Linked DNA regions of Saccharomyces cerevisiae S288C. The protein of the gene in region 3 binds, or shares a complex with, the protein of the main gene of each other region. Each region holds a gene or a part of one and is shown on either strand. Other genes may lie near its edges.

Region 1 (3,317 bases), on a different chromosome or scaffold from region 3:
CCGTGGTTTCTCAAGCTAACCAACAAGCAAGCACGATCTTTACCACCAGGACCTCTGTTTATGCAACAGTATCGTCTACGTCCTCCTCTACTAGTTCTCTCTTAAACGGGAAATCGAGCTCGTCCAAGAGCAAAGGCTTGAGTGGTGGCGCCATCGCAGGTGTCGTAGTAGGTGTGGTTTGTGGTACAGTTGCCTTGTTGGCTCTGGCGTTATTCTTTTTCGTATGGAAAAAACGTCGCCAATCTTCTCAGCATGTGGACTTGGAAGAGACAAAGCAGTACCAGCCGTACTCACTGGGTGATGCTGACGCTAACCCTGTTATTCCACCGTCTGCTTCGAGCACTAACTGGCACATACCCTCTAGGAATAATACAGCATTGTCCAAGAATACAGCGTCTACTTTTGCCACTTATGATCTGCCGACAAGGGCGCCGGGCGGCAGAGATTCTATTATTACTGGTGATGCACATAATATCAGCAAAAGAAGTCACTTTCCCTCGGTAGTGTACGAGGAGCCTCCTTCGATCTATAACGGGAACCAAAGGTTCAGTGCTACTTCGCTGCCCGATATGATGGAAGAAAGACAACTACACATTGTCAACCCCGATAATGTGAGTTCAAATATTGGGAGTAATGTCTCAGATGGTGATGATGATTACGATGATGCAAAGGATTCCAATAATAGTTCTTTGCGCTGACTAGGTTTAGATACCAACACTACATATTCATATCAAAGACTTATTCATCCTTTCATATTTCTTTCCTTCATTTTCCCTTTGTATGTATAATATTATTAAAGCCGACGATTATTGCACGAAAGAAAAAAAATATAGATAAAGTGAACAGTACCGACCATATCAATATTGATTTATCATGTTAAAAAGTTAAGTATATGTATAGTTTATCAAAATGAATGTACACATTTTCTATTCTTCACAAATCTGAGGCAATGGGGTCTGTCTCAAATCACCATCAGGCATGTTTACCGTAGAATAAAAATAATATGCTTCCAATCGGATTTGAACCGATGATCTCCACATTACTAGTGTGGCGCCTTACCAACTTGGCCATAGAAGCTCAGAACTTGAGAAAACCGGATATACAAGTGCTACTTAACAAAATGAGTATGGAAATCCTAATCTTCTTACTTTAGTTAGTATAAGAATCTGTGTATATTTGGTGAATAATTTGATGATTGTTGGGATTCCATTGTTAATAAATACTATACTAGAAGTTCTCCTCGAGGACATATGATGTCGTTAGGACGTGATAAAAACCATTTCGTCCTTGGGAGATCACGGATGCATCGAGAAGTTTCCTAGCCAGTCATTGGGTTATTGTGCCGAAATTAACTTTAATCAATCAGAAGAGAGAAACCAAATGGCGTCCCCCAATTATTCACACTTCTGCAAAACAACTTAATTACTTTTCGTTTTTCACAAAACAAACGCAGCTCATATTTTGGGTAGGGCATTCCAAGTATCCATTTTATTGTGCGTTCATTGGTCTCGGTGAACGTAGGACAATATGAGTTCCGATTATACCAAATACCGTAGCAAACTCCTGATTGCAATTAAACAGTATATTTTGCGTATTCTGCGTCGCAAGCAATGTTAGATAAGGTACCTTTATGTACTATACAAAGCTACTATTCACAGCTACTATCTTTATATCCGTTTTTCTATTTGGCAATCGTATAGTTTTCTTACCCGGCTGAAACTCCAGGTAACTGCACTAAACGCAGTGCGTAAAATTAAAGCTCATGACCTTTAGAAGTTGATGAAAGCGGAAAGGCAAACAGGATTAAGAAATAGTTTTACAACCGTAATCGGTCGCAAACTAATAAACACTTTTGTTCCGTCCATGATGTTAACTAGCGTAGCTGGTAACGATATTTTTTTCCGAGGTTTATTCAAATCGCCGGTATTAGCATTTCAAAGTTATCGTTATGTTTCGATTTTGGGACAATTGAAACCGTCAGATGGTTCTACAAAGTCTTTCAAAAGACTTGGGCGTGGTCCTTCCAGCGGTTTAGGTAAGACATCAGGGCGTGGTCAAAAGGGTCAAAAGGCGCGTGGTAAAGTAAAATCGTGGTTTGAAGGTGGTCAAACTCCAATTTACAAGCTATTTCCTAAAATTGGATTTACCAACGTTGGCGCCAAACCATTAAAGGAATTAAACTTGAAACGCATTCAATGGTTTCATGATAAAAATAGGCTTCATTTGCAACCAGGCGAGGTTTTAGACATGAATAAGATGAGAAAGCTTGGTCTGGTAACTGGTCCCATAAAGTACGGAGTTAAAATTCTAGCCAGCGGAAAGTTCCACTACAATCTACCGATTGCTTTGGAGGCTTCTAGAGCATCCGCTAAGGCTATTGCGGCTATTGAAAAAGCAGGAGGTAAGTTTACAGCTCGTTACTACACACCGTTGGGTCTAAGGGCACATCTCAACCCCCAGTGGTTTCTTGAGAAGAGGGGAAGAGTACCACTACAGGCTAGACCCACGAAAAGAAGGGATATTGATTTCTATAGTAAAGAAGAGAAAAGAGGTTACCTAGTAATGGAAAAAGATAAACTCTTACAAGATATCAAAGAAGCTCAAAATAAGGGTTCTAGACACTTTTTAAAACAGAATGTAAAAAAGAGCTCATTAGAAATAGAGCTAGAAGAACTGTCTCCAGAGAAGGATTGGGTGCCAGTTGTGTCTAATTCTAAAGTCATGAACATCAAGGCTTTGGACCACTAAAAAATTGTTAACCGTTTTATATATAAGTAATATTCTCACTTGTACATACCTTAAGATATTGTCTTGTTAATGATTCATTTGGTGTCCGAAATTATTCTATTTTTCAGTCAATTTATGACCAACTATCGAATAAGGTCCTGATTTTCAGAAATTTTTAACTTTTATTTTCTTTTTTGTGAATATACTTTAAGCAAACTCAAACATATTAAAAGATTGCATCTTGCTTTTTCGGGAGAAGTAAAGCAGTTAAAGGAAAAGAGAAAAACTACATTCTTCTTTTAAGCATTATTATAACAGGGTGAAATGGTTATTTAGTAAATAAGCACAAATACAAAAAAAATAAACGACCCCAGTGAGGGTTGAACTCACGATCTTGCGATTAACAGTCGCACGCCTTAACCAACTTGGCCATGGAGTCTTATAATATATGATTTGTTGTATCTCAAAATGAGGTACGTCAGTATGACGATTCCTTATCCTAAACGTTCCTAAAACACATATGTGTGGGAAATGGGTGAATTTTGAGAATTGGGCGAATTTTGAGAGAATTGTTTGGATAGACGATAGTG
Region 2 (2,703 bases), on a different chromosome or scaffold from region 3:
TAACAATGATATTGGGGCATTATCTTTGGAAAGTAGCTTCGAGAGAAAAAGATATGTCTTATGATGAATTTTACAAGGAAATGCAGCGTAAAAACCAGTTTAGGGTATTCGAAGAATTAAAGCACGTAAACTCAGAGTTGGCCACAAATAGAAAAATCGCATTATATCGCATCTTTCAATGGGAACCAAGAAAAAGGATTTCTGTTGGCAAACTTTTAGATATGCAGTGGATGAAAAGTACGAATTGCTGCCTAATATATGATTCCACATAAATATCTTGTATACAATATTCACGGCATGCAATTATAGAATAAGACAAGAAAAAGAATACAACTCCAATGAGTAGAACGTCAGCAGCACGTTCATGCGTTTTCAAAGTTAAAGTCATACATTAAAATTTAAGCAATATATACAGGTGGTTAATTAAATAATGACGACAAAGCTCTTTTGCTGGTTTACAGTCCCTTGATTATAACGTTAATGAATGGAAAATGGGGGTACTTTTATTCTTATATGACCCTACTTGCCAAAGAGCATATCTTATTGTATCCCTTGTCTTTCAGTGTTCTATCTACACAACCATCATTAGCCATAATTCTTGTCCCCAGAGGTTCACCGGTATTTTTATTAATCAAAACGCAAGCAGTATCTCCGAATGCAACGGTGGAGCCATCCTTTCTGCACATGTTACGCTGTTTAGACCTTACGACAATTGCGTGACAAATATCACCTTTTTTGACACGGTTGGTGTTGGCTGTCCCCGTAATGTTTTGAGTCAAGGGCTTTGCTTTCTGTATAACACAGACTATTCTGTCTCCAACCATTGCAGGACTCTTGGGGGACCCTTTCCTTATTACTTTAATACATTCTGCTAATTGTGCACCTGAATTGTCGATTACCTTGATGACAGATTTTAGAAATATCATGTTGTGATGTTAGAAAATATGGCTTATCCAGATCTCAAAGGGTTGACGACACACCGTTCTACAAATCCGCTATGCCAATATCCACGCTTCACAATTTATCCGAACTCTTCTATAGGTCCCTTTTCTTCCATCCGTCATTTAGCAACATGATTTAAGGCTGTTCAAAAAAATATTCTGAGTTTTCGCACGTTGCACGAGTCGCAATGAATAGCGCCAAATAAGTGATAGAGGCATCAAATATGCGATAAAAATACTTATTTACATATTTCGTAATAGTAATTATGAAGTTCGTTATAATTTATAAAATGGGAGAAAAAAAAGTAAGCACAATGTATGTATTTTTTCAATGCAATCAATATCATTAATCATAAGTCATGAGCCATTATTATCGTGAATGGCCTCGCTTAGGTTCATTTCGTTTTGAAGGACTTCTTCAATCCTTTTCAATTTCCACCTCTTATCCAAGTCAATCGTCAAACATCCAATGACTGTGTCATACAAGCCTTGACCAATCGTTCCTTCATTTTTTTTCCTGTCAAATTTACAGACCTGAGCTAAAGAAAATCGGTCAAATTCGCCTACTTTAATCAGAGAGCGTAACCTAGGTTCGAACTCATGATTAAAGGGTAATTTTCCTACTAACATTGTATATAGCATTACTCCCAAGGCCCAAATATCGGATGCTGGTCCTAAAGGAGAAACAATACATGGAAAATCAGTCGATGAACCAGACGGTGAACTTGTAGTTACACCGGAATTCGTGACTGCGGACGCCTTTGTAGAGGATGATAGAGAAGATAAATTAGAGGAAGATGATGATGCTGCGCTAATTTCCGATTGAGAGGAGTCTGGTGAATCATAAATATGCATTTCAACTGATTTTGAACGTCTTGCATCTGAGTATCTTAGAAGTTCTGGCGAAGCGTAAGGCAGAGATCCGATATATTTAGAAGGTTCGGGTTCCAGGTTTGAAAAATCGGTTGTCTTGTGCCTCCCATGAAAGGGACTCCGATGCTGTGGTTGAGGTTGAGAGGCTGGCTTGTGAAATAGATTAGAAGAAGAAGAAGAGGATGGTTGATTGAGATGCTTTAATGAATGTGAACTGGAGCTAACCATTCCTTTTGGTGTAAACGGTTGATGCTTTCGATTTTCAAATTGGTATTTTAAGTTTTCACTAGCGTCAAAATCATTAGTTCGGTCGTCAGGTAAAAAATTGGTTGTGGGATACTTTATCAAATTAGTTTGTTCAATACTTTTTCTCTTTCTATGGCTGTTGCCACTACTCAAGTTTTCATCAAAAGTATCGTTACGATAAACATGCTTCTCATCGAAGTGGCAACTCATTCCAAAATCGCATAGGAAAACCTTCCAATCCGATTTTTTACCTTCTTTTTGTAACAGACAGTTTTCTAATTTGATGTCACCATGAACAATCGTTTTGGAATGCATGTACTTTAATGCAGATAATAGTTGTAAGCTTAAAAAAATGGTCAATCTGCATCTCTCTGCAAATGGTATCTTCGAACGTTTGAATTCGTCCCAAGATATTACCAAGTCGTATAAGGTACCATCGTTAATTCTTTCCGTTAAACAATACATTGCATAGTTGTCATCAAGCTTCCAATCTAAAAGGGGGAGTATTCTGTTATGCTTCAAAGTCCTCCATATGGCTACTTCTCTCAGCACATGTTTCTTGATATTTTGGTGTCCTTTGAACTTCACAATTTTTATCACTCTACCAACACCAGTTTCAATATCAAAGCATTCCCGTATGATC
Region 3 (2,532 bases):
AGCAAGGGATCACAGAGCAGCCACCATTTAAAGAACGGTCTATATTATTTGATTCGGGAAACAAACTTGTGGTAGTCTTTTCTTCATCTGCTGCATCTTTGCCTTCCTCCTTTGTCGCATTTTCACAAGAATAATGATGACTTAGATCTGGCTTGGATATAATAACTCCGCTGACGAGCTCTCTGAAGAACGCGTATATCTTGCCTGGAATGGCCCTAATATGTTTCTGCGGAAACAGTAGCGTGGTAGAGGGCATTTTTGAACGAATGTGGTATAGCCGGTATAGTTTGCCTTTTCCTTTAGTCTGTAATGTAAATCTACTTTTAATCAATGAGTCCTTGCAGTTTATACAAGAGTCAGCTTGCTTTTTTTTTCGCTTGCAGGGATGGGAAAAAGCAGTAAAAAAAACGTCAATAGTGATACAGTTCATGTCATAATTACCACATGCCCTTTATATGTCTATGTACATATAATTATATAAGTCCATATATACGTGGCATTCTATTGATCATCAGTTATTTACAGCAGGAGACAGTCAAGCGTTCGCTCACGCTATCATTTTCGGAAGTTATAATGCCATAACGTATTTGGGGGGAAGTCAGTGGGCACCTTCATTTCCATCGGGAATCGCTTGCCCTTCTCGGAAGCATTGGCAGCCTCAAACAGACGAGGGCTGAGTTCTTGTAGAAGGTTCATAGATCTCTCAATGCTCTTATATTGTAATTCCAACTGTAAATTTCTGCGCTCCCGTTGTTGCTGCTGATAAATTGACCAACACTTCTCAATGGTCTGATGTTTAATCAGGTCTTCACGCGCCAGCTTCAGCAACTTGGGCTGCTTTCTGCTTGCAGACATCACACTCAACTGCGTGACGACCCTTTGTGCCAAAGGTGACAGTGAGCTCTTGCTCTTTGTTCTCTTATTTCTGATGAAGACCGTGGTCCCAGATACCTGTTCTAGAACGGCTCTGTGTGGTTTTTTGAATGTTTGTGCCAGCATGTGTTATCTTCGTTGTGTAGCGTAGGTCTTCGTCAGTTCAGTATCCTAATCTGCAAATATCTGGAGGTATATTAACTTATGCTTCCCTCCATACAGGCAGGCCCCAGTCTGCTTCATCTTGTTTCTCGCTGGGAACTTTTGTCGCCCCATACGATAGTCACTGTATACGTAATTCTCAGCCGTGCATATTTCACAATAAAGACAGTCTAAAGGGACAAAGGCAAAGCGTCAATGGACAGACGACAATTAACTGGATATTATTTTATGTGTTGAGTATTCAAAGCACATAAACAAAAACAGATTATGATGGATAGCGGAAAGAGTGATATAAATAAGCATGCATACAAGGAGACAGCGACCCCGCTGCCCGTAGATCCGCCCTCTTACGAAGAAACAATGAAGCAAGATAAGGAGGAGGTCGAAGCCGATGAAACGACATCTTCCGCACACAGAGACAGCTTTATGAGGCCTGTTTACACTCACCATCCGCATCCAAGATCCCACAAGGGATATCCGGGTGCGAAGACCCTTACATATACTTCACGGTAGGTGGTAAGCGGTATATGTACATATACATATATATATATATATATATATATATGAGCGTGTGCATGGATGTACAACGATAACAAAAGCAGGTACAGGGTATCAAAATATTTTATATAATATAGTTACTTAGGATATTTATTATTAGGTCTAAAAAGAAATATTACGAACAAACATGATATATTGGTGTAGCGGAAAAGGAAGATAAAGGAGGGAGAACAACGTTTTTGTACGCAGAAACTAAGCAATAACACATGCTGGGTCCCAGAAGACACCTTTGATAATATAGTTGTCCTTCTTTTCACTGCTGGTCTTTTCTTTTGGAGCGGCGGTAGCGGTAGATGGTTGCATTTCTATTCGATGGCTTTGTACTTATTTTGGTTTTATCCGAGAAACAGTTACAGATCCCTCTCATTAATTCATTTCTGGCGGTTTATATATGAAGACTCTATTTCATTTTTTTACTTGATTTTCAGCAACCACTGAATCTGTATCTTTATCTCTACCATTTTAGGTTTCTTAACTGTTTTTTCTGATTACTGGGTTTCATTTAACATGTAAATTTCCTTTTTGGGTAATTACACACTCGTTTGTAACAAGAACAAAGAATAAAGGTATGGGCCAACCGTAGCAGTAGGTGCCTTTTTTCTGAACACTGAAACAGATCGTGAATGCATGTATATGCGTACATAGAAAATAAAAAGTAGTTGATTACATAGCTTATGCCACGTTGCACACTATCCTGATGTTTTAAAGCTCCTCGGATATAACACATCCTAAGCCCATAAATGCCTCTGTCAACACCCTTTCGTACGCATAATTAGTGTTGAACCCAGACGCAATAAATTCTTTCCTGTGCTCAAGATCTTTGATGAATGGGTCATTGTATACTGAACCTTTCAACGTAAACCTTGGGTGTGCTTCTCTATCACCGTTAAACGGCGTGAACGGTACAGCATCTTTGAGTCTCGAATTCTGTACGTTCAC
Region 4 (2,691 bases), on a different chromosome or scaffold from region 3:
GGTAGGGTATTTGATGTAATATTTATTATTAAGAACTTTTGTCGTGCTAAACGTTGTACTGTACAACTATTAGCAAGATATTTATGCACGACAGTAATCTATAGTTGTAACTCTAAATCACACACCATAGACAAATGATCACTTGCATATTCTCCAACATGTGGTTGTCCATGCTTTGTCATTTCATTACCGGGCGGCATTCTCAAAAAACCTCTGCATTTAACTTTATTTTCTTTTTCAAAATCGCCAAGGGTTTCCACTTCCTGACAATTACTTTGTGGGTCCCATTTCTTTACATAAAATAGATAGTCTAATAAACCACGCCAAGTGTTTGCCCAATTTGAAATTTCAGGCTCACCTCTATCATTATCAAGACCTGCATTTTCTGGATGAACATTCTTATACCCAACAGAGTATAGTGAAATAGCCCTCATATCCAATGAGTTATGGAGTTGTGCCATTTTATCTACGAGTTCAGACTGTTCTTCATTAGCATGAAATTTTTCAGGAACGGGGCTCTCAGGTTGATCTTTACCATATTTTTCAATATTCCCGCCTTCTTCGTCATCTGCACCTTCTTCGCCATCACGGACCTTGGAAAACTTATATGAAGTGCTGCACCCAATGACGGTCTTTGCCCTGTTTCTATAGTGCACTGGTTTGGATGTCATAGATAAATATGGTGTGTCGAACGGCTGGGAATTAAAATCACCACAGAAAAAAGGAAACCAATGAGATAAATCCCCATCATTTTCGTTCTGTAAAACATTCACACGATGCATGAATTCCTTCATCTTTTTTAAAACAATATAGCATTGTCTTGTTCGTTCATAAGTACCAAATGGATGCCAAAATAGATGCGTAGTGCCGATCAAGATACCGCATTTTTTAGACGATTTTTTACCCAAATTCGACAGTACTTTCTCAGAAAACTTCAAGGCTAAGACTAATCCCACGTTGTTTGTCGTTGTTCTAGTGGAAATGCTTTCTGAACTTTCTTTATCATAGTCGATTAGCATTTTGTCAACCTGGTGAAATAATTCTCTCCTCCACATTATCGCGACACCATGGTTTTTTGTAGCATTTCTATAATATTGTCCATCGTATCCCAATTTACTGAATTCATCTTTCCAAAAGCTTTGAAACTGAATATGATCAATCTCTTGCAAACAAATGACATCGGAATTATAATATTTAAACTCGTTTAAGAGAACTTTAGAACGCCTGTACCATTTTAAAGCGTCACCACTATCCGGGAACAGCTTTCTGCGGATTAGAGCTTGCGCCAAGCAATTATAAGTCATTAGCTTGAATCTAAATCCAGTTACTGGCTCTGCCTCATGTAGAGATAGGAAAGGTCTTCTGATAAAATGCAGCTCTGGCGGGCAGTCCGGATCAACACCTTGAGCCAACATTGCATCTCTTTTAGCCTTTCTCATAACTTCCCTTTCGGCACGAACCTTAGCGATATGTTCTGGGGTCACTATGGGCTTCGATTTTTTACCTTTCTTGCCCTTCTTTTTATGTTGAAGTAACGAATCATCATTGGTTTGATGTTTTGCATCTTTTACAGATTTATTAATTTCTACTTCTTGGTCGGGCGCAACATCTGGGGCAACCACTTTGACTTCTTTGTCTTGTGTCATATTTACTTAATACTCTTAACTACAATTAAGAAGCTATAAGGAGACTACAATCTCATCTTCTTGCAACACTACTTTTCCTTTCCTCTTGCTTTAGTGCAACCATTTTTTGAAAAATGAATGGTCTTTCTGCACGAAATATCTCTCGAAGAGCTTTTCTAGATATTAAGGATAAAGTATATCATCCCAAAAGTTAGGTGATGGAATCAATATTGATGGACCAGCTAAAACACGTTGAAAGCAGATATCAGGAATGGTGTTTTACAAAGTCACGTTGAGTAGGTCGCTTATCGGTGTGCCACACACAACGAAGAGCATTGTCAAAAGTTTGGGTTTAGGTAAAAGAGGGTCCATAGTCTACAAAAAAGTAAACCCGGCCATAGCTGGCTCCCTAGCTAAAGTAAAAGAGTTAGTCAAAGTAGAAGTAACAGAACATGAATTAACACCATCGCAGCAACGAGAGTTGAGAAAGTCAAACCCTGGGTTTATAGTGGAGAAGAGAACCATCGACTGAAACAGCGAAAATAAGGCAACTGGATTTCCTTTCTTCTTGATATTCCTGACTTATATATGTATATAGTATTATTTTTTCCTGCATAGGCACATATGTTAATAGTAATTTATGCAATTTTTGATACAAAGAAATCAATACACTATCTCGATTTCATATTTTATGTATGTATATATTTACAAGAAGAAAATTATGCATGGTCTATTGAATTTTATATTTGGAAAAAGAGTCCCTTTTTATAGCTTTTCCAACTCTAACATTCCTTCTAAACAGTCAATTTTTGAAATTTTACAATTCTTCACGATATCTCCAATCATCGGATAATGCATAGAACTTGGATGCAATTTTAATGTTCCTCTAGCGAACGATAAGTCTGGAAAAACACATCCAGTAAATCCGTTCTGCGGTACTGATGTTACCATTACATCGAAAGTCCTTTCTGGCTCTAGTTTGGTTAGCTTTTTTAAATAATTCAGTGTCCAGTACGTCGACGAATTACGGCTAGCCCTTTTTAAAATATCCGCTCGAGATTGAATT

What was found.
Region 1: MRPL28 (region 3) and MRPL10 share a complex: the UniProt entries of both Saccharomyces cerevisiae proteins name them as parts of the mitochondrial large ribosomal subunit.
Region 2: MRPL28 (region 3) and MRPL38 share a complex: the UniProt entries of both Saccharomyces cerevisiae proteins name them as parts of the mitochondrial large ribosomal subunit.
Region 4: MRPL28 (region 3) and MRPL33 share a complex: the UniProt entries of both Saccharomyces cerevisiae proteins name them as parts of the mitochondrial large ribosomal subunit.

What each region holds. Positions count from the first base shown.
Region 1 is NC_001146.8:102,565-105,881, reverse strand, and holds MRPL10 (mitochondrial 54S ribosomal protein uL15m MRPL10), read left to right. Parts: upstream 1-1,779; coding exon 1,780-2,748; downstream 2,749-3,317. Other genes in the region: WSC2 (Wsc2p), read left to right, coding at 1-698. UniProt on the Saccharomyces cerevisiae protein: Component of the mitochondrial ribosome (mitoribosome), a dedicated translation machinery responsible for the synthesis of mitochondrial genome-encoded proteins, including at least some of the essential transmembrane subunits of the mitochondrial respiratory chain.
Region 2 is NC_001143.9:128,857-131,559, reverse strand, and holds MRPL38 (mitochondrial 54S ribosomal protein uL14m MRPL38), read right to left. Parts: upstream 927-2,703; coding exon 510-926; downstream 1-509. Other genes in the region: putative serine/threonine protein kinase KKQ8, read left to right, coding at 1-272; protein kinase NNK1, read right to left, coding at 1,299-2,703. UniProt on the Saccharomyces cerevisiae protein: Component of the mitochondrial ribosome (mitoribosome), a dedicated translation machinery responsible for the synthesis of mitochondrial genome-encoded proteins, including at least some of the essential transmembrane subunits of the mitochondrial respiratory chain.
Region 3 is NC_001136.10:1,384,540-1,387,071, reverse strand, and holds MRPL28 (mitochondrial 54S ribosomal protein mL40 MRPL28), read right to left. Parts: upstream 1,000-2,532; coding exon 556-999; downstream 1-555. Other genes in the region: STP1 (Stp1p), read right to left, coding at 1-256; CMI8 (Cmi8p), read left to right, coding at 1,306-1,548; MFA1 (mating pheromone a), read right to left, coding at 1,786-1,896; TFIIH/NER complex subunit TFB3, read right to left, coding at 2,296-2,532. UniProt on the Saccharomyces cerevisiae protein: Component of the mitochondrial ribosome (mitoribosome), a dedicated translation machinery responsible for the synthesis of mitochondrial genome-encoded proteins, including at least some of the essential transmembrane subunits of the mitochondrial respiratory chain.
Region 4 is NC_001145.3:840,046-842,736, forward strand, and holds MRPL33 (mitochondrial 54S ribosomal protein uL30m MRPL33), read left to right. Parts: upstream 1-1,896; coding exon 1,897-2,157; downstream 2,158-2,691. Other genes in the region: NGL2 (RNA exonuclease), read right to left, coding at 99-1,646; DSS1 (exoribonuclease II), read right to left, coding at 2,391-2,691. UniProt on the Saccharomyces cerevisiae protein: Component of the mitochondrial ribosome (mitoribosome), a dedicated translation machinery responsible for the synthesis of mitochondrial genome-encoded proteins, including at least some of the essential transmembrane subunits of the mitochondrial respiratory chain.